Tamandua tetradactyla: one gene and its partner. The protein of the gene in region 1 binds, or shares a complex with, the protein of each later gene. Links are inferred from orthologs where the notes say so. Each region holds a gene or a part of one and is shown on either strand. Other genes may lie near its edges.

Region 1 (10,961 bases):
CAGAGAACAGCCTTGCCGTGGGACTCGTCGCTCAGCTGTCCCCAGGCTCTGCTCTCAAGCTCCCCACTCTCTGTTTCAAAGGCCAACCCGGGCCCTATCCCCGGGGCCGTGTCCCCTGGGCCATGTCCCCCGGCTCACCCAGGCCTCCCTCTGGCCACCTCCCTGCCACCACCTCGCAGCACACACTCGCCAAACCTGATGCCATCCATACCATGATTATATTAGAACTTGTAAAATGTTCAGCTCCCAAATCCTTACAGAAATACAATTTTAATTATAGAAGAGACAAAAGAAAGCAAAACGAAATTCTACCAGCAAGTGACAGCCAGTGTTAATGGCCCAGACATTTTTCTATATTTACTTGCGAGTGCCTATATGTATTCTTTCCTCATTCAAACCAAAACAGGCTTGTTCCATCCATGTGCACTGTGACCTGTGTGTCCGCCTGACAGGCCCTCACCGGTTTCGCTCCCATGCCGTGACCCCACGGCCTGAGTCCCAAGCCCGCCCTGGCCCAGGGTGCCCAGAGCGCCAGACTCTGCCCCTGGCTCTGCACGCCTCAGACGGATTCCCGGCGCCGACTACGCCCTGGCATAGAAATACCCTCAAGGCTTAAACCAACAGGCGTGAGGCCCAGGCTCCCTGGCTGTCCACGTCGGATTTGGTTCTAGGCCCTTTTGGAACAGACCGGAAGCTCTCCCAAACCCCGACGCTGCCCTGGGAGCTCCCTAAATCCCAGGAGGCTGAAGAAAACCCGAGGGCAGCGAACATATGCTACCATTTGGCAGCTCATAAAGCACTTCCACACCCTTTATCTGAGTTTGAGCATCCTAACCCTATAAATTCGGCAGAGCAGGTATCTGTTATTCCCATTTTATAGATGATGAAATGGAGGAGGCTTGGAGAGTTGGGGTGACTTGCCTTTTTGTCTTCTCTTCATTTACCTCCCCTTTGGAGTCTGGCTGACTCCAAACCCCACCAATGACCCAGAGCTCAGGCATCACCTCCTCCAGGGAGCCCTCCCTGACCTCCATTCCTTCCAGGCTAGTTAGACAGCCTCCTCCAAACACCTACAGCTTTCTGTGTCTCTTAGCTACTGCCACAGTCCCTAGCATAGGGGCGGGGATTCCTATGATCCCCATTTTATGGGGGAGGCCACTGAGGCATAGAGAAGGGGTAGGACTTGCCTACTGAGCACCTCAGCTGCCGGCTCAGGCCTCGGACCAGCATCTTCCATCTCGGAGGCAGGGCTTCCTTTGCTCCTCTGCGTCCCCTGTGGTCTGCAATCTGCAACTCCAAAGCACTGCTGTAGGCTCATTTCCCTCTCCTCCTGCACTGGCCAGGCCCTATGCGTCCCAGCCCAGTGTGAGGATGGGGAGGTGGGGTGTCTCTGGCTTTGATGGGCTTGGTCCCCCCAGCCTGGGCTGACACCCTGTTGGAGGGTGGCCTCGGGAATAACAAGTAACTGGCCATTTATTGGGTGTCTCCCAGCCCCGCCCTGTGCCAGCCCCTCCTCCCACTGCACCTGCAGCTGGCACCATTGTGATGCTTCTTTGCAGATGGGGAGGGCAAGACCCTGGCCCAGGCCACCGGGGCGGAGCTGGGGTGGGAAGCCAGGCCCCTGTCCCTACTAGCAGCAGGCAGATCAGGAGCTTGCTGGCACCCGACGCAGAACTAAATGCACAGTCGGAGTACAGGGGATGGCTCCCGGGGGGCCAGAGGCCTCGACAAAGCCCAACTTCTCCCTCCCGCATCACCTGGCTGCCACCTTCCAGGGACAGCTGACTGGAGGGCTACTACCTCTGGCCCAGGGAACACGGCTCCTCCCTGGACCTCTCCAGCACTCCCCTTGGATAGGGTCACACACCACCTGCTGGCCCCCTGCGAGCCCCAGGCTCAGGGCCAGGCTGGAAGCAGCTGTCACATCTACCCAGGCCAAGTTCCCAGCTCTCTATTTCTTCTTATTTGAACGAGACATCGCCTGTCTGCTCCTGGCTGGCAGAGAGATGCAGGGCAAGGCCCTGCCTTTCACTGGGCCTTACCTTGCCTACCTGTGCAAGGATGGCAGGGGTGGGGGCGGGGCTGTGTCTCAATGGACCCACCGTCTCTGGCATTCCAGGGCTTGCCTGCAGGCAGCAGAGCTCAACAGACACGGGACACTGCAGCTGGGGGCATGGGGGTACAGTTATGACCCCCAGCCAGCTCCCCAACCTCTCCTGGCCTCAGAGTTCTCATCTGTAAAATGGGCACAGCAGGAGAAAAATGGCTGAAATCCAAAGTTATACTGATTGTATGAAATGTAGAGAGGAGAAGACATGGGTAATTTAGTTTCTGCCTGTTTTCCTTATCTTTTTCTAAATCCTCTATTATACTCAAGTATTTATAAGGGGGCAAACAAATGCTTTCTGTTATGGACTGAATTGTGTCCTTCCAAAAGACACGTTCAAGTCCTAACCTCCAGTCTCATGTATGTGGTTAGTTAAGAGGAAGCCAAAGAGGCTGGGCCCTTATCCTTTACGACTGATGTCCTTTTAAGAATTTCGAGACCCTCATTTGGAATTCTGGCCTCCAGAACTGGGAGAAAATACATTTCTATTGTTTCAAGCCACCCAGTTTGTGGTATTTTGTTCAGGAAAGCCAAGGAAACTAGCAAACTTTCTTTGTAAATTAACTTTATTGAGAAATAATTGACATATAATAAGATATAGCCACTTTTTAAAAAAGGGGATAATGGTACCTATCCTCTTGGTTGCAGAGGACTGATAGGTTAATGGATGTAAAGTCTTAGATGTGCTGGCATATGACAAGTGAGCCCAGAGCCACCCAGGCTTCCTCTTCCTGCTGGCCTGGCCGGGCCCCAACCTCACCCCACTCCACCCCACCGCACCGCTAACACCAATCTCTTTGGATCTGCTGCCGCCACATTCATTGTCCGGACCTGACCTCATCACCGAAGGCCTGGACAACTTCCACAGCCTCCTGCCAGTCTCCAAGGCATCCCAGAGGAATCGCCCTAACATTCAAGTCTGGCCACACTCCTGCTCTGCTCTAAAGCTTGCCATGGCTCTCCACTGCCCTTGGCTGAAATCCTCAGCTCCTCCACACAGCGCTATTTGGGCAAGCTACTTAACTTCTCTGTACTTTTGTTTTCTTAACTAAAAAAAGAGGAATACAATAGTACTGCCCTCACAAACCTGCAGGATTCCGTTTTGTGCAGGGGGCGAGGTACACGAGCTGCCCGTGGCTTCTCTGGCTTGTTTCCTTCTCGCTGTCATCTTGTTCTCACCTGCTCTTCCTTGAACACGCCAGGCAACCTCCCCCCTCAGAGCCTTTGCACTGGCTGTTCCCTCTGGCTGGAAGAATCTACCTCCAAAATTCTGCCCAGCTTGCTCCCTCACCTCCCTCAGCCATTGCAAAATGTCACTTTCCCCATGAGGCCTCCAAGGAACACTCTATTTAAAATGGCAACCCCCTACCCCTGCCCCCTCCCATGCCCTATCCCCCTCCTGTTTGTTTTTTTGGGGGTGCATGGTCCAGGAATCGAACCTGGGTCTCCCACATGGAAGGTGAGCATTCTACCACTGCCCCCTCCTGTTTTATTTGCTCCATGTTATTTATCACCATCTATTTCACTTGTTCATTGTCTGTATTTTTTCCTAGTAAATCTAAACAATTTGAGGGCAGATTTTTTTGCGTCTATTTTACTGTCTGACCCTCCACTCCCCCCCAGCACCTAGAGAATTCCTGGCACAAAAGGTGCTTGCTAAATAGGGGTCAAATGACTAAACGAATGAATGAAAGGAAAGCACCTAGGATGTATCAGGCAGGTGGTAAGTACACCATAAATATTATTACTATTATTTATTATTCAAGGTGAGGCTCATATGTCCTCCTCATTGACTTCCAAAGCTTATAATCACATCTTCCGAGGACCCACCGTCCCCTGCCTGTCTCTTAATTATAGCAAGAAGCACTCTGCTCCTTAATGATATCTTTTTTCACTTAGGCTGAACCAAATGAAATTGCCATTTTTTCGGCAAGTCAAATAGTCAGATATTGGCCGTTTCACATGTTTTAATCTAACACATTTCCCCAGCAACTTGCTGTTTCCCCCAGAAGTGAAGTAACCTCCTCCTGGCCCTGCAGACTAGGCTATGATTGCTACCCCCTCCAATCTGTTCTGAAGGAGGCAAGGTCCAGTCTAGGAACTTAAAATAATTAATAAAGGGTCCTACTGAATTATTTTCTGGTCCTCCTGACAAATCTCTGTCTTATAAGATTTGGGAGAGAAGATAAAAACAAAACACACCAAACTCTCAAACAGAACCGGCTCTGGCCATCTGGAAATAGGAAAGGGATACGGCAGGAATTCCTTCCCAGGAAAAAACAGCTAGCTGCTGGCCTGTCAAAGACTCATTTAATGATGGGGAAGGGGGGGGAGCTGGAACATTTTTTGGTTTCCACTGTGTTCAGTGCTCCTTCCAATAAAAGGCTTCAGTTACAAAGAGTTGCTAAGTCTAGAACATACTGAAAGAAATAAAGCAACCACTGGGTTTACCCCTATTTCACAGGTGGGGAAAGCGGGGTTAGAGAGGGGAAAGGGGTTGGCCCACGGGACATAGTGGGGTAGAGGCAGGGCTCATCGTGGAGGCCATGCCTGCTGATTCTTCATCTCGGGCTTTTCTCTAAGGACCACACTGCTTCCAAAGCTGGCCAGACCCCGCAACGTAAACTTCAGTGTGACTAATTTGTGAGCTGTGCTTTTCAAACAAAATGTGTTATCAAACCTCAGATAGAACACCGGATGCTTTTTCACTTTGAGATAACTTCTCGTAAATAGCAGCATTACCCGTCTCTGCCTAGAGTCAGTTCCTTGGGGGTAAATCCCCAAAATAGAGGGTTAGGGACAAGGACAGGTAGGGTCGTTTTCATGGGCTCTTGTAACAAGCTGCCAGATTGCCTGGCAAAATGAAATGCCACCAGCAAATCCCTGTAGCCTTGCCTGCACAAAGTTTTATTTTTTTCTGTTTATTTTTACTAAATTTATAGGGATACTGCTTTCCTTTGCTTAATGGTATGTGTTTATGAAAAAGCTCTGGTCTTGGAATCAGGATGCCTGGGCTGGACTGCTGGTTTTTGGAGTAAACTTTGGCAAGTCACGTCTCCTTTGGGGGGGGGGGGGGTAGGGGCTGCCAATCTGTACAATCATGTTTTTTGGAGATCCTTTTCAGCTTGGACATTTCATAATTGCATGGTGCATTTTGTAATTAATAGCATAGAATTACTTTTTAAATAATCAACATCTGCCCTGCCCCTAAATTGAGCCCAAATGGCTTGGATTAGCTATGAAGGAAAACAGGGCCCAGATTATTTTTTATATATGTATGGTGATGACAAACATAGAAGTAATACTTATTCCTGCATGTTGGTGTGACAGCAGTATACTCAGTCTGCTGTTACAAGGGGTTAATAACACTCATTTGTGCATGTCCCTTGCAGCTTTCACTCTAGGTCACTCTATTTCAGCCCTTTAGAATCTCAGTGACTCGCAGTCAAAAGTTGCCAGCCTGCAACAAGTGCTCATCCAGTCTCTGTTTGCAGACCTTCGATGACAGGGAGCTCACCACCTGTCCAAGCCACCCTTCACTTTCTTTAGTGGTAAGAAGTCTGCTGGGTGAAGGGCAGGTTTGAAGGAGAACAAAAGAGACCCAAAGTCCATGCCAGGCCTCCTGCACAGGTGGATTCTGAATAAGCTCACAGCTAAGAAGAGGCCCCATAGCGGACTCAGCTAGCTCTCTCCACCTCTGCTTCTGCTGTCTCTGGCAGGAGACACAGCACTGGCTGGCCCAGACCTGAGCAGGTTTAAGGGACCCTATGACTGGCTCCCAGGGTGGGGCAGGAGAATTGCTTGTTGTTTGTGTGCCCAGAGCTGGACCAAAGGGAGGGACAGGGGCTGGGAAGCAGATTCCAGTGAGCCTGAAGCTGCCTTTGGAGCTAGTGGACAACTTGTCAGCAGGGGTGGGCAACCCAGGTCCCAGGGGCTCTTCACCATGGGGAGTCTGGGGCCACATAGCCCCAGCCATGCTCGCCCCTCAGGCCACCCCCATGCAGACATAACCCTGCTGACTTGGTCGCTCCTGTGGTCCACACGTGGCCCTGTCACACAGGGCGGGGCACCAGCACGTGCCTGGGGCGCAGAATGGGACGGGCCAAACAGACCCTAATGCAGGAGGCGACCGGCGGTGTGGGTCTGGCCCAGCAGGTCTGCGTGTGAGAGCCGGCCACCTCCAGCCCAGGCCGCCCAGCCCCTGCCCGCGAGGCAGTCTACGCGGGCAGAACCTGACGGCCCCACCCCGCAAGCCCAGGCCAGCCGACCGCTGTGCCCGGCTCCCCCCTCCATCGTTTCCCGGACCGGGAAGCCGAGGCCAGCAGGTCACCAGGCCGAGAGAGGAAGGGGCCTGACACGGGCTCCAGGGCCACCATCGGGCCGCGTCGGAGCCGAGTCGCCGCGCCCAAAAGGAGCGGCCCTCGCTGCGGGCGGGAGGGGTGGGCGGTGTAGCCGGTGCCCATCCGGGCCCTGAGCCGTCGGGAGGCCGGACCTCGGGGTAGCCCCTCCCCACAGCGCGGAGACGAAGAGTCCCCGCGGCACCTGCTTGCCCGAGGGGGAAACGGAGGCCTGGAGAGGAGCAGTGCTTTGCGCAAGGTCACGCGGAGGGGCCGGGAACCAGGTCCCCTGCGCCCCGCCGGGGCCCCCCGCGGCGCGCCCAGTTCTCGCATCTCCCCGGGCGCTGCAGCCGGCAGGCACCGCGTGCTCGTCCCGCCTGCCGTTCCCCGCGCGCAGCCCGCGAAGGCGCGGGGCCGCCCTACCTTGGTGACGGCCGCGCAGGTGGCGGCGGCGGCGGCAGTGTCCGGCTCCGGCTCCGGCTCCGGCTCCGGCTCCGTGCTCCTCGCCGCCAGCGGAGTCCCCGCGCCGGGCGCCGCCTCCTACCCGCGCAGCCCGACTGGCGAGATGGGGACCCGCCCCCCAGCCCCGCCTTCCCGCACCCCCCCCACCCCGCCGCGCTCCTGGCCCCCCGGGGCTGGTCTCTGGGCGCGCTCACGGCCCAGCCCAGGCGCGCAGCCGCCGCAGGGATCCGGGCGAGCCACGGGGCCACCGAGCGGAGCCTGGGGTCAGGCAGACCCATCTGGCCGCGCGGCGTAGGGCCGGGGCCTCGACCTCCCCGAGCTTCCCTTTGCCCCCGAGGAGAAATGGAGACGGATCTGTCCCAGCGGGGTGCCTAGGATTTCGATGAAACGATCCGGCCCCGGCAAGTGCGCGCGCAGAGGCCGGCCCTGCAAAGGCGTCCCGGAGAGCCGGGGTCTGGAGCGGCGACTGCAGCTCCGCGCTGGGCGGAGAGGGAGCACCCTGCTCCTTCTCTCGGCAGCCAGGAGGGGGCGCTCTACTCGGCCTCGCCGGCTTGGGGGTCCAGGGGACGCCGGGCTATGGGGAGGTGATGGGAAACTGGGCCTTTTCCTAACAGCAGCAGCTAACCTTCATGGAGCGCTGGATGTGTGCCGGGCACGGCTGCCAGGCCCCTTGTATGTGTAACCTGGCTCTACTGCGCACAAGCCAATGAGTTTGAGGCCATCACTCCCCTATTTTGCCCAGAAGGAAGCTGAGGCACAGAGAGGTTAAGGAGCTTGCTCTAGGTCGCACAGTTGGTAAGTCAACCCCAGGCAGCAAGCTTCTAGTTGCTCCACCACACCTTTTGTTTTGCAGCCTTTGCTCTGGTGGTGCAGCTTCGGGACCTAGAGTCCCTGGCGCCTAGCAGGCATGCTCTATCATTTGTTGAGTAACAGTCTATGTACCACTCCACATATATTATTTCGTCTAATCCTACTAAGCCTTTCTTTAACCACTATTACTACACTCGTTTTGTAGATAAGAAAATTGAGGCTTAGAGTGGCTGAGTACTGGGGGTGGGAGGGGGGGCTCTGAGTTAATTCCTGAGAAAAAGCAACCTGGGCCAGACCCTGGGGCTCAGCGTCCACTGGGCCACCTGCCCAGAGCTGGGTGGGGTCCGTGTGCTGCAAAGCCCAGTGCCTCTTAGGCCCTCAGAGGCTCTACCCTGGGGCCCCATAGGCAGCACCAATGCCTGTTGGTGAGTCGGCTCTTTGATGTTTCAGTAAACCACATGGACAAAATCAGAATGGAGTGGAAAATCCTTATACTCATGGTTCAGTATTGCTTTTCTGTTGAATCATGCCTGGAAGTGGGCACTGTTGACTTTCCAAAGCTAAGGCCTCTCGGTGTTGCAGTTCTCCAAGGCTCAGCCTCAACCTCCCAGGTCCCACTCACCTTGCGTCCTTGCACCTCTGTGTCTTTGCTGGTGCTGTCCCCTCTGCCAGGAATTCTCTTTCCTTGTCATTACCTTCCCCTTTCTAACTGGCCTCACCCTTCCAGGCTCTGCACCAACAGCCCCTCCCCTAGGGAGCCTCCCGGATGCCCCCATGGTCCGCCCTCCCAGCTTTGTGTCTGCATTCTCCCACCCAGTGGCCTGAGGGTTGTTGGATGGGCCTCAGTTTGGGGAAAGGCTGGTTTGACCAGGACATCTCTGGGGGCTGGGGGCATGTGGTCCAAGGGACGGAGGGAAGGGCCACTGGGCACCTCTACAACAGGCACTCTGGGATCTGGCATGTTGGGGGAGGAGGCAGTTGTCATCAGCCAGCATAAATTGACACCCCCTCCCAAGGGGCTTCCTTTGAGAACATACTCCTGCCCTTCCCTTCCACTCAAGCTCTGCATGCTAGAGAGGGGAGCCCACCATTCCTCACTGACAGCTCCAGCTGCCTCCCGAAGTTCCCAGGGCAGCCCCTGGAGCTGCACAGCCTCCTCTCCCTCCACTGGCTGGGCCCACTGCACTGTATTCCTATGCCTCAAGGCTCCACCTCTCCCAGCACCTCGCTTGGGCACCCGGTGTTTGAAATGGCTACGAAGGGGTGGGAACTCCTTTGAGGGCCACTGGGAGACTGGGGGTGTCCCATGGTTGGGGTTCCTATCCCTGAACACAGGAATCCTGTGGAAGTGAGTGACCCCTCCCACTCTGGGGACAGGGAGAGCATCTCTAAAGTGTCCCCCAGACCCCTCCTCTATCTGGACTGCCATCCCTTTGTTCCTGGGCCTCAAATCCTTCCTCCTAACCTGTGGCCCCCTCAGCCCCTGGGAGCCGTGCATCTGGGGCAGGGGTGGGGGTGGGGGCAGCACAAGGTCCATGGGAAGGGAAGGGAGGTGGGGTTGCAAGGATCACATCCCCCAGCCCTGGAAGGCAGCGGCCCCTGGGGATGGGGGTGACAGCTGTGGTGTGGCCAGGAACCTGACACCGGGGGATGGGCCCCCAAATACCCTCCAGGAAAAGCAGAGGGAGGGTGGGCTCCCTGTGGGATACGAGCCCCCCCCCCCCCCCCCCCCCCCCGCCGGTAGTCGCTGCCAAAGCCTTGCTCTCTTTGTAAACCTCTGGTGACATCTTTTTTTTCTCATTTCCCACTGCCTGGAGCGTCCCCGAGGCCAGTCAGGGCCCTCCCAGGATCGTTGGGGAGCACTCTAAGCTCCAGTGCTGGTGAGGGGCAGGGGCCAGACTACAGTGGGGCTCAGTTGCCTGGGGCTGTGTGGCCTTGGGCAGGTTAATGAGCCCCTCTGAACCTTGGTCTCACTGTGCCTAGGGCCAGCTGGAGCGAGCTGATGCTGTGCGACGGGCAACTCTCCTCATTGACAGGGTCTCAGTCCTGTGCACTCCCCACCCCCCCGGGGTATCAGAACCCTGGCCCACCCTAGAGACTGGCTAAGACATTTCAGAAAGCTACTCAGGTCATTCCAGAGGGCAGTCAGGGAGGGAACCAGTGGTACAAGATGCTGGGTGACTGAAAGCACCCCCACTCTCCCCATGGGAAGAGGGAGGGGTGGAGAGGGAAGATGAGGCTGGGAGAGGGAGAGAATGGGGAAGGAGGAGGAGGGGAGGAGGAAGGAAAGGGAAAGGGAAGTGGGAAGACGGGGAGAGGAGAAGGAGGAGGAAGGCAGAGGGGAGGGCCAGGGAAGGGAGAAGAAAGGGGCAGAAGGAAAGGGGTGGAGGGTGGGGTTATCTGCCTGATGGCTGATTTGTTTTTGCTGAGGAGGGAATTTGAATATCAAGGCTGAGCCCAGTGAGGGCTGCAGGCTCTGGCTTCCTGGCGCCTTGGGCCCTTTCAAGCCCCAGGGCCCTCCCTGTGACAGGTCCTGCACGCCATGGGCTGAGCTGCCCTGTGCACCCTGCAGGCACTGACCTTTCAACCCTTCTGGGAGCTTCAGAGGCTCAAGCCCTCGTCCCTGGTCTTAGGGTCACAGCACCCTGGCTGGGGGCTTCCCAAGTAGCTGGCCCTGGGGTAGGCAGGGCCCCTCTCCCAGCCCCAGACAGAAAGGAGCCTTAGATCACTCCTGGGAGGTTTCAGGCCCTCTTCCCCTAATCCTCAGCAATCTTCCAGAGTTTTCCCCACCTCCCAGTCTGGTCCTCCACCAGGTCCAAGTTTTACTGAGAAAAGAGTTGCCAAAACTGCTGTGCAGCCTTGAGCCCCGGCCTTGGCTGGAGTGGGGTGGAGGGAGCCTCTGTCTGCTGAGGAAAGGCCTGGAAAGGCCCAGAAGAATCAAAACCAGAGGAGGCCGGTGGAAAGCCCGAGTTCCTGCACATAGTAGGGGCCCTACGGTCCAGCTCTGAAGCGACTGCGACCTCTCACCTCCCTCCCAACCCCATCTTTCACAGAGGGCCCTCCTCACCCAGCCTGCGAAGTCGGCAGTGGGAGGCAGAAGTGGGGCACACAGGCCCGGCTGCTGCTCAGAAAGGCAGACACCCTAAAAGCGCTCCTAGGGAGCGGAGGCAGCGCCCCCGCACAGGCGCCGAGGGACACAGCAGCCCCAGCAGCCCCAGCCGCCCCTAACGGTGGGACTTCCCGGG
Region 2 (10,222 bases), on another chromosome or scaffold:
CTACGGGTGTGACCTGGACGCGCTGGGCACAGGTGCACGTATTGGCATGATGCGTACTGCCAAGGGCGACCTGCACTACTTCATCAACGGCCAGGACCAGGGCGCTGCCTGCTCAGGCTTGCCTCCGGGTAAAGGTGACTGCTCTGTGGTTTTCACCTGCCACCCTTCAGCTTGCACCCCACTGGGCCGTCGGTCTTCTGAGCTTCCCTTTCCCATCCAGAGGTGTATGCAGTAGTGGATCTATATGGCCAGTGTGTCCAAGTGTCCATCACCAATGCCACCGGCCCCATGGACAACAGCCTAGCGACCAGCAACACCGCCACTGAGAAGTCATTCCCCCTGCACTCCCCAGGTCCAGCCGGCAGGGAGGGAGGGGGGCTGTCTTTACCTGCCTTGGGCCTGAGGGTATACAGCTCAAAGACAGGCTGGGGTGGCTGCAGGCTAAGGAGAAGGAACAATTGATGGTGGGAAGTAGAAAATAGGGGAGCTTATGCCTGGTACCCAGAGTCTAGACAGTTCCCTGCCACCAAAGACACTGGGAGTTGGGCATCCCTGGTTTGGGAATGAGTCTTGCTCTGGTGAAAAGAAGTATCAGGAGGTCCTGAAGGAGTACTTTATGTCCACTTCCTGTTTTATCTGAGAGTTTAACTCTGTGTCCTGTCCCAAATTCCTGCTTGAAGCTTGTCACGTCAGGCCTTTCTTTTACTCTGGCACCATCTTTCTACAGTGGCTGGTGTGGCTCACCGATTTCACAGTACTTGTGGCAAGAATGTCACACTGGAGGAGGATGGCACGAGGGCAGTGCGTGCGACTGGTTATGCTCATGGCCTTGTCTTCAGTACCAAGGAACTCAGGCCTGAGGAAGTCTTTGAGGTGGGTTGTACAGATACAACAAAGGCGGCTATTGGGAGTATCACATTGGAGCCAGACTCATGCCCACTGATGGTTTCCCCTCTCCCAGGTGAAAATAGAAGAGTTGGATGAGAAGTGGGCAGGCTCACTCCGGCTGGGGCTGACCACACTACCACCAGGGGAGATGGGCCCTGGAGCAGGGGGTGGCCCGGGACTGCCGCCCTCTCTGCCAGAGCTCCGGATGAAGACTACTTGGATGGTATCCAGCTGTGAAGTGAGGCGAGATGGGCAGCTTCAGAGGATGAACTACGGCCGGAACCTGGAGAGACTGGGGGTGAGGCAGCTGGCTCCAGGCATGGGGCAGAGTAGGGGTGGCAGGGAGAGGTAGACTGAGTACTTTCATTCCCCTTTGGTCCTAGGTGGGAAGCCGTGTGGGTGTTCGCCGGGGGGCAGATGACACAATGCACATCCTGGTAGATGGAGAGGATATGGGGCCTGCAGCCACTGGCATCGCCAAGGTAGACTAGAGGCCTTCCTTGGGTTCTACAAGTGGGGCTGAGGTCTTGTGCTGACCTCTGACTTCTTGGGTCCCTTGTGCCTCCAGAATGTGTGGGCCGTGCTGGATCTGTACGGTCCAGTGCGGAGTGTGTCTATTGTCAGCTCCACGAGGCTGGAGGAGTCCGAAGGCACCCAGCCTCCTTCCCCCAGCTTGGATACCGGCAGTGAAGGCGAGGAAGAGGACGAAGGCGAGGAGCAGAGCCTGGGAGTAAGAAGCTGCAGCAGGGCCTGCCAGGCTCACTGGTGGGCAGTGAAGGGCCACTGGAAGCCGGGTCTTTTGGAGGGTCTATGATCCGGTCCTGAAGAGGCAAAGGCTCATAATTAAGCTCTGCATAAACTCAGGTGGGTTGGGTCAGGTACAGTGGCAGCAACCCCAGCAGCTCAGTTTCTCCTCCACACCAGGGCCAGGATCAAGTGGCCATTATGCCCACAGCCCTCGAGTTCCTGGAGAACCATGGGAAGAATATCCTGTTATCCAATGGGAATCGTACAGCCACACGAGTGGCTAGCTACAATCAGGGCATCGTCGTCATCAACCAGCCCCTGGTGCCCCAGCTGCTGGTCCAGGTGGGACTTGCCTTCTTAACTCCCAGCTCCTCTGGCTCCAGCATTACCTCAGGCCAACCCTCCCGGAGAAAGGCCATTGAGTTGAAGGAAAAGTGGAAGGTTGGTCTCCTGGCAAAGTTAGCAGCTGGAGGGCTGTGGTAAGGGCTGGAAGAGTCCAGAGGAGATGCGTGACCCTAAGTGTGGGCGTAGGGAAGGCATTCCAGAGGAAGGGGCCATTCAGCTGCAAACATGTCAGTTACCCAGTTCAGGGAAGTCCTTAGGTACAAGAGTCCCTGCTGAGGCAACAGCAAGACCGTGGCTTAAAGGGGAAGGAAACAGTTGAATTTGCAGCTTCTAGGCCCTGCAAGCACCAGCAGGGCATTTTCCCAGGCCACGCACTGGGAGATGCAGTATTCCTTCCCTGGCTGGATGAGGAGCCTGGTTCTTCCGGTTCAGTGGCCCTTTCCTAGGAGGCCATAGCTGGAAAGGGGCTACCTTCTCCCACAGGTGCGAATAGACTTCTTGAACCGACAGTGGACATCGTCCCTTGTCCTGGGAGTCATTGCTTGTCCACCTGAGAGGCTCAACTTCCCTGCCTCTGCCTGTGCCCTCAAGCGGGCAGCCTGGCTGCTGCGGGGCCGAGGTGTCTTCCACAATGGTCTCAAGGTGAAGGAGGAGCCAGGGGAAAGGGAAAGGGCTGGGTCTCTGAGTTGGGAGGGGCTGGACAAAAGGGAAAAGTTGGACCCCTAGCCTTGGTGATGCAGGCAGGGTAGGAAAGTGCATGGGTGTCCTTAGCTGGGGCAGTCTCAGGCCTACCACTTCTTCCTGTGTTCCTGCCATTGAGAAGGTTCCAATTGGGAGGAAGTGTGAAATGGAGTCTAGATCTGTCATTGAAGCGAGGGCTAGGGCTTAGGCAGTGGGTGGGTGAGGCAAAGCCCAAGGCCCAGTACCTGGCAGCTGAACAACAGGTGGGGACGGCTGCTGCTGGTGGAGGCCAGTCTCTGGGAAGACAGCAGCAGGTCTCTCCTCCCAGATCTGTGAGAAATTTGGGCCAAATCTGGACACATGTCCTGAAGGAACCATCCTGGGACTGCGGCTAGACAGCTCTGGGGGTCTGCATCTCCATGTCAATGGAGTAGACCAGGGGGTGGCTCTGTCGGACGTCCCCCAGCCCTGCCATGCACTTGTGGACCTCTATGGGCAGTGTGAGCGGGTAAGTGGCAATAAGGGGGGCAGGGGGCGTGCTTGGGAACCAGGGATGGCAAAGGGGCATGCCTGTGGTCAGAGAAGGGAATCAGCAAACCTTGGCGGATGACCAAGTTCTGGGTGACCACCCCCTTCCCTGCAGGTGACGATTGTGAGCCCTGAATCAGGAGCTGCCAGTGGCAAGGGTGCTGGAACCCAAGGGGACATGGAGAAAGCTGACATGGTGGATGGTGAGGCAGCCTGAAGGGACCAGGCTCCTACCTTCTCTCCATACTTCCAGCCCCAGCTTCCATGACCGTCACCTCTGCTCCTGTAGGTATCAAGGAGAGCGTGTGCTGGGGTCCACCACCAGCTGCTAGTACCTTAAAGAGCTGCGAGTACCATGCCCTTTGCTCCCGCTTCCAAGAGCTGCTGCTGCTTCCTGGTGAGTATACCCAATCCTTGCTGGAACCTGCCTCACTCCAGAGCCAGTCCAGGGCCAAGCCCAGAGCCCTGGAGACCAGTCGGAAGGAGGCAGCATGGCCAAGAGCCAGGGTGGGAGCCATGGCACCAAGCCTGCCACTCGCTCTCCCACAGAGGATTATTTCATGCCTCCGCCCAAGCATAGCCTGTGCTACTGTGAATCTTGCCGGAAGCTGCGAGGGGATGAGGCCCATAGGCGCCGAGGAGAGCCCCCCCGAGAATATGCCCTGCCCTTCGGGTGGTGCAGGTTCAACCTCAGGTATATGTGGGTGGGGTACCCAGAGGGCACATGGAAAAACGGAACTTCCTGGCTAGAGAATGACCTAGGGGAGCCCTGCCCTATCTGTCCATCTCCTAGGGTGAATCCCCGCCTGGAAGCTGGCACACTAACCAAGAAGTGGCACATGGCATATCATGGGAGCAATGTGGCAGCTGTACGCAGGGTACTGGACCGAGGGGAGCTGGAAGCAGGTACTGTGGAGCAAGGGAGGCAGGGCAGGCTGGGTCTTGGGGACATGGGAGGAGCAAAAAGGGGTGCCCTGACCTAGCTGTCCTCACAGGCACTGCCTCCATCCTGAGCTGCCGGCCCTTGAAGGGAGAGCCTGGGGTGGGTTTCGCAGCGCCTGGCGAGAACTGCGCACCTCCTCGGGAGGAACAGCCCCCTCCAGTGCTGCTTTCCCCCTCCCTTCAATATGCTGGGGCTGAGACCTTGGCATCCAAAGTGCAGTGAGTACATGAGAGGGGAGGAGAGAGAAGAGGAGGGGTGGGGAGAGATCACCAGGGAGTCAGACCAAGAGGGACCCCAGGGCCACTCGAGTCTCCATGACTTGCCCTCCTCTTTTTTCATCTTATCTTACTAGTTCTTTAGTCTCCATCTCAGCCTTTGCTTCATTTATTCATTGAACAAATAGCACTTCTAATCCTTCTTTCCTGAACAGAAAAGGAACCCTTGTGGGAATATGTCTCTCTCTCTCAATGGGTTTATGTATAAGCACTTAGTATTTTTAAAGCTAATTTTTTCATAAAGTATTATGAAAAAAGAAAAAATAGAGTGGGTGAAGTGGGTCAGAAGTGGTGTTAAATAGGGTAAGTCAGGGTGGGCCTCACTGAGATGGGATTTGAGCACTGGCTTGAAGGAGGAAATGAGGCATTTAGCTGAAAAGGTATTGGGAGGAGCATTTCAAGTAGAGCAGCTCTGGCCAAGTCCCTAAAGTGACAGTATCTTCTAGAATAGCAAGGCCAGTATGTCAGAGCAGAATAAGCCAGGGGGAGAGGTGCCAGGGCCAGAGGCCTCACTCCTCTTGCTCTGCTTCTTGCCTGACAGATTCCGGGACCCTAAATCCCAGCAGACACACCAGGCCCAAGTAGCGTTCCAGGTGTGTGTGCGCCCTGGCTCCTACACCCCTGGTCCCCCGACTGCTGCCCTCAGAGAGCCTCCTGATCCTCACTTCAGTCCAGCTGAACTTGAGTGGGTAACCAAGGAGAAGGGGGCCACACTCCTCTGTGCCCTGCTGGTACGGGTGGAATGAGGGGCGAGACCTCACTACGACAAGCACAGTTGAGCCCTGGGCCCATGAACTCTGGGTGACCACTGCCTCCACCTCATTCCAGTGACCCACGGCATGCACCGGGGCTCAGTCTTGGCAGATGTGCAGGAACATGTGCTCAGGCTCTCGGATTTAATTGGGAAGTGGAGCACACCTCCATGTGCAGGGGCCCAAGACACTCCCTCTGACGTGAGGGAACTTGTGGAGTCAGCCCCAGGCCCTGGGGACCCCTCCTCATGCACTGACTTGGGGAACATGACTCCCTATCGCCCCAACCCCAACCACTTAATTTATTTCCGTTTTTTTTGTTGTTGTTATTTTTTTTTCTCCTGGTTACTGTGAATCCCAGAGGAGTGTCTCCCTGTGCCCCACATGAAGCTGCTTTTTTTCGGGGGCCATCGGGCGGGAGTGGGGAAGGGAGGGCGCGAGGGAAGACGGGGGTCCTCTGTACAGCTGTTACTGACTCTGATTTCTAAGGAGCCAATAAACACCGTCTCAGAGCCCTAGCCTCGGTCTTACTCGCGTGCGCCGCTCTCAGAGGCACCTCTTCCCTAGGGCTGCCAAGTGTGCCGAACCCTGGGAGGGCGGACGCTGGCACGCGACCTCACGAAGTTAAGGGCTGCGTCCGGTAGAAGTAGGCCCAGCTCAGGGGAGTCTACAGCCGGGGTGCACGGCCCCCGGCTGGCGAGCAGCCAGTGATCGCAGGCTCCGCAAATAGTGTTTGGACGCCACGGGCACCCGTTACGCTGCGTTTCCGCCTTTTCCTCTCCACCCAACCAGCGAGGGCTGCCGCTTTCTTGACTCCGGAAGAGTTTGGCTTACCCGCCGGATGTGACGCAAGAGGCTAAGGACCACAGGAGGCCGCGGAGAAGGCGAAGGGAAGGCGGGTAGGGAGGGGTCGGTGCCCGGGACTGGCGAGGAAGGGGGCGGGGATCCCCGAGGCTGGAGGTCCCGCCCGCGCACGCGGAGAATTGTGGCTGCGGGCGGGACCGAACTGCGGGCGCCCAGGGACACGTGACTGGAGCGGCGCGCCGGCTTCCGCCTCGGCCGGGTGCGGCCTTCCCTGAACGCCCGCCTCCCCATAGGCCTGGTTCAAGGTCTGGCATTCAGTGACAGAGTCGGGCGCCTACGGCCCGAGCGACCCCGACAGCACCATGCCCGCGCTCCTGGAGCGTCCTAAGCTTTCCAACGCCATGGCCAGGGCGCTTCACCGGCACATCATGATGGAGCGGGAGCGCAAGCGGCAGGGTGAGCTGGGGCCACAGCGGGTGGACATACGGCGCAGGTCTGACCCCCCACCCACGACCATACCGGTACGCCGGCCGGCAAGACTAGCCAAGGGTTGAGACAGCCTTACTATCGTGGCAAGAAAGCCGATCTAAGTTCCAGAACCGTTGAGCTGGGAAGGACCTTGGAGAGCACCTGACAAACCTTACCTCTCCTTGTACCCTGCCGTGTAGGGAAGTCTTTCCCCTCCAGAGGAAAAGAGCCATTACCAAAGACATACAGGAGCATCTGGGTTAACTATTTTTGCTGCTCATCAATATCTGTTTCTACTATTTTAACACCCTGCTACTTCCCTATTCTGCCTGACTCTTTTTCCAGAGGAAGAAGAGGTGGACAAGATGATGGAGCAGAAGATGAAGGAAGAACAGGAGAGGAGGAAGAAAAAGGAGATGGAAGAGAGAATGTCATTAGAGGAGACTAAGGAACAAGTAAGCAGTCCCTTGGTTTTTCCAGCTGTGATTTCTTCCCTCAGCTCTCCTGTCTTCATCTCTACCCTTCCCTTGCAGATTCTGAAGTTGCAAGAGAAGCTCTTGGCCCTACAGGAAGAGAAGCACCAGCTTTTCTTGCAGCTCAAGAAAGTTTTACATGAAGAAGAAAAACGGAGGCGAAAAGAGCAAAGGTGGGGTCGAGAGCTAATAATAAAATTGTGGGGACAAGTGGTAATAGAATCAGGTAACAAAAGATGAGCACCTGTCCTTGACTTTGACCTGCCTTCCCTCCCTCCAGCGACCTGACCACCCTGACATCAGCTGCGTACCAGCAGAGCTTGACAGTTCACACAGGAACTCACCTACTCAGCATGCAGGGTGAGGACAAAAGAAACCACGTGACAGTATGGGCCCTCTGGGGGGTTACAGCCTCCCATTTCCGTATCATGAAGCCTCTCCCATTCTAGGGAGCCCTGGAGGACACAACCGCCCAGGCACCCTCATGGCAGCTGACAGAGCCAAACAGATGTTCGGACCCCAAGTGCTGACGGTAAGAGTAGAATTGGGTGTTCTAGCCCCAGTTGCTTATATTGCTGCTTCTTCCATTCAGACCTGGACATCCTTGCTCCCAGTATTCAAGTCATTAATTACCAAGCAGTTACTGTATAGAACAACGGTATAGAGATAGGCATAAGTCACTGAGGTTCTGCTCTCAAGGAATTCACTGGCAGTGCGTCCTCATCCTCTTTCCTTAGACTCGGCACTACGTGGGCTCAGCAGCCGCTTTTGCAGGGACCCCAGAGCATGGACAATTCCAAGGCAGCCCAGGGGGTGCCTATGGGACTGCTCAGCCCCCACCTCACTATGGGCCCACACAGCCAGCCTATAGTCCCAGTCAGCAGCTCAGAGGTGAGTGATGGAGAGGGGGATTAAAGAGTATTATAAATGGGAGAAGGGAAGTTCCAATGGCTGGGCCTCTTGCCTTTCTCAGCACCTTCAGCATTTCCTGCAGTGCAGTACTTGTCTCAGCCACAGCCACAGCCCTATGCCGTGCATGGCCACTTTCAGCCCACCCAGACAGGTGAGAAAACCTCATGCAGGAGTCCTTTAATCCATGGGTCGTCCCTTCCTCCTTGTCCTATCTTTACATTCTCCTTCCTCATCTAGGGTTTCTCCAGCCTGGTGGAGCCCTGTCCTTGCAAAAACAGATGGAACATGCTAACCAGCAAACTGGCTTCTCTGACTCTGTAAGTGTGGAGCCATGGAAGTTCAGGGTAAGGACTATGCCAAGGGAACCCCAGGCTGCTCAGGTCCTGACTTTGTTCTCTTGCAGTCCTCCTTGCGTCCCATGCACCCCCAGGCTCTCCACCCAGCCCCTGGACTCCTTGCCTCCCCCCAGCTCCCTGTGCAGATGCAGCCAGCTGGAAAGGTGAGGATGGTGACAAACTTAGCTGTCAGAATCCCTGTACTACCAGGAAAACAGGAGATAGTTGGACAGGGGACCCCACCCCCTAGCTTTCCCTTTCTCCTTGGGGGAGTAGATAGTTCTCAATAAAAGTTTTAAAGTGGAAGGTGAATACATGTACTGAAAAAAAAATCCTCATTTCATCACCATCACCAGTCGGGCTTTGCAGCAACCAGCCAGCCTGGCCCTCGGCTCCCCTTCATCCAGCACAGCCAGAACCCGAGGTTCTACCACAAGTGACCATCAGATTGTATCTTCAACCTCACCCCTGCTTCCAGGGATGAGGGCTCCCCCCCTATGTGTTCCAGGCCAATAAAATCTACCTGCCACCACTGCTCCTGGCTGCTGCTATTTGTGTTGCCCACAACCCAACTGTCAGGGCTGCTTTGGGGGAGGGTTTAGCAGGTCCAGACCCAGACAAGAGGTTGTTATTAACTCAGTGGCAAACTGAATATACATTTTACTCAGTGAATACCCATTCACTTCAACCCCCCAAAGAAATGGCTGAATTGAGAGCTTCATATTAAACTTGTAGTTTTATTCAGGTTTGATTTTAACAAATGTGTAGGGGAGAGAGCCCGCAGGAAAGGGTGAAGCCCATGGAGGCAGGGCCCTCCCAGATGCCTGAGGAGGGGGCAGGTCCCCTCCCCTCTCCTCCTCTTCCCTCCCTATCTAAAGGGGTTTGGGGAGAGACATAGGCAGGGGAGGGGGCCGGTCCCCAGTCTGTAGGGGTGGTACTTAGGGTAAAGGACTATGGAGAGAGGAGACCAGAACAGGGTTAAGTAGAAGGGTACAAGGACCATTTGCTAGAATCCACAGCTTTCTGATTCCAGACTGAATAAAAAAAAACAAAAAAAAAAAAAAACAAAAGAACAAACCCAAACCTAAACCACAAGCAGTGCCCACCCACTCTCCCCCCACCAGGGCTGTAGTGCGGGAGGGGAGAGGAAGAGGGCAGCTTCACCATGGCTCGCTCCTGGCCAAGGGAGCAGGGTGAAGGGCAGGGCATCCCCGACAGATTGGGGGTGGGGAGTAGGGTAGAGGAGTAGGAAGAGAAACCAAAATAAAACGTCAAATAAATCGTGTAGGAGGAATCCAGCCAAGGGCCGGGCCAGAGCTGGGCCAGGCTGGGGGAGGGGGCCTCTGCAGGCTCCAGGATCTGCTGCCACCACTGCCACCCTAGAGACGAGAGAAACCAGGTAAGACACGACAACACCTTCAACACAGAACAGTGGGGAGAACAGGCCAGGCTGAGGGCAGAGTAAGCCTGGAACAATTATGCTGAGTACAACTCTTTGAAGGGGATAGCACGGGAAACTGTCAGACTTACCTAGGAGCCAGTTATTTTGCCATGGCCTTGATTGCAACAGCTGCCTCCTCTGTCATGGCTGACAGCACCGTGATCTGTTGGAGGCAAGAAAGCTAGTCAAGAGCTGCTCAAGTTCAGAGGAAGAAGGACAAAGAGCAAAACTGGGCACAAAGGAAAGACGTGAAGGGGACACCATACCAGGATCTCTTCTCCACAGTCGTACTTCTGCTCAATCTCCTTGCCAAGGTCTCCCTCAGGCAGACGAAGGTCCTCCCGCACCTCCCCACTGTCCTGAAGCAGCGATAGATACCCATCCTGGATGCCAATCAGCTGAGAGCAGATAGGGAAGAAAGCTGAAGGTAGGTCCAGGTAGGCTGAGAGTAAAGGTCAAACGGGTGACAGCAAAAGTGCTAATATCAAATGCTGTCTCCTTCTGCCATTTCCCTCCTCTCTCCCAGCACAAGCTCCTCTGGTCAATCATATTCCCCCCCCCGTAAACCAGCCTCCTCCCTGAGACCATCTACATACCTGGAAGTCATTCCTTTTGATGTTAGGAACATCC

What was found.
Region 2: CORO2A (region 1) and GPS2 share a complex: the UniProt entries of both Homo sapiens proteins name them as parts of the N-Cor repressor complex. The link is inferred for Tamandua tetradactyla from reciprocal best matches to the Homo sapiens genes CORO2A and GPS2.

Annotation. Positions count from the first base shown.
Region 1 is NC_135328.1:15,425,137-15,436,097, forward strand, and holds the start of CORO2A (coronin-2A), read right to left. Parts: upstream 5,125-10,961; 5' UTR 1,319-5,124; coding exon 1,199-1,318; exon of another isoform or gene 1,188-1,198; intron 1-1,187.
Region 2 is NC_135332.1:61,177,986-61,188,207, reverse strand, and holds GPS2 (G protein pathway suppressor 2), read left to right. Parts: upstream 1-5,796; 5' UTR 5,797-6,054; exon of another isoform or gene 6,055-6,058; intron 6,059-6,064; exon of another isoform or gene 6,065-6,256; 5' UTR 6,257-6,325; coding exon 6,326-6,419; intron 6,420-6,776; coding exon 6,777-6,886; intron 6,887-6,964; coding exon 6,965-7,077; intron 7,078-7,184; coding exon 7,185-7,264; intron 7,265-7,353; coding exon 7,354-7,436; intron 7,437-7,641; coding exon 7,642-7,795; intron 7,796-7,877; coding exon 7,878-7,967; intron 7,968-8,053; coding exon 8,054-8,133; intron 8,134-8,219; coding exon 8,220-8,315; intron 8,316-8,507; coding exon 8,508-8,591; 3' UTR 8,592-8,685; downstream 8,686-10,222. Other genes in the region: NEURL4 (neuralized-like protein 4), read left to right, coding at 1-134, 221-352, 728-873, 962-1,186, 1,272-1,370, 1,457-1,618, 1,813-2,076, 2,464-2,622 and 7 more; EIF5A (eukaryotic translation initiation factor 5A-1), read right to left, coding at 9,693-9,755, 9,859-9,990, 10,189-10,222. UniProt on the Homo sapiens protein: Key regulator of inflammation, lipid metabolism and mitochondrion homeostasis that acts by inhibiting the activity of the ubiquitin-conjugating enzyme UBE2N/Ubc13, thereby inhibiting 'Lys-63'-linked ubiquitination.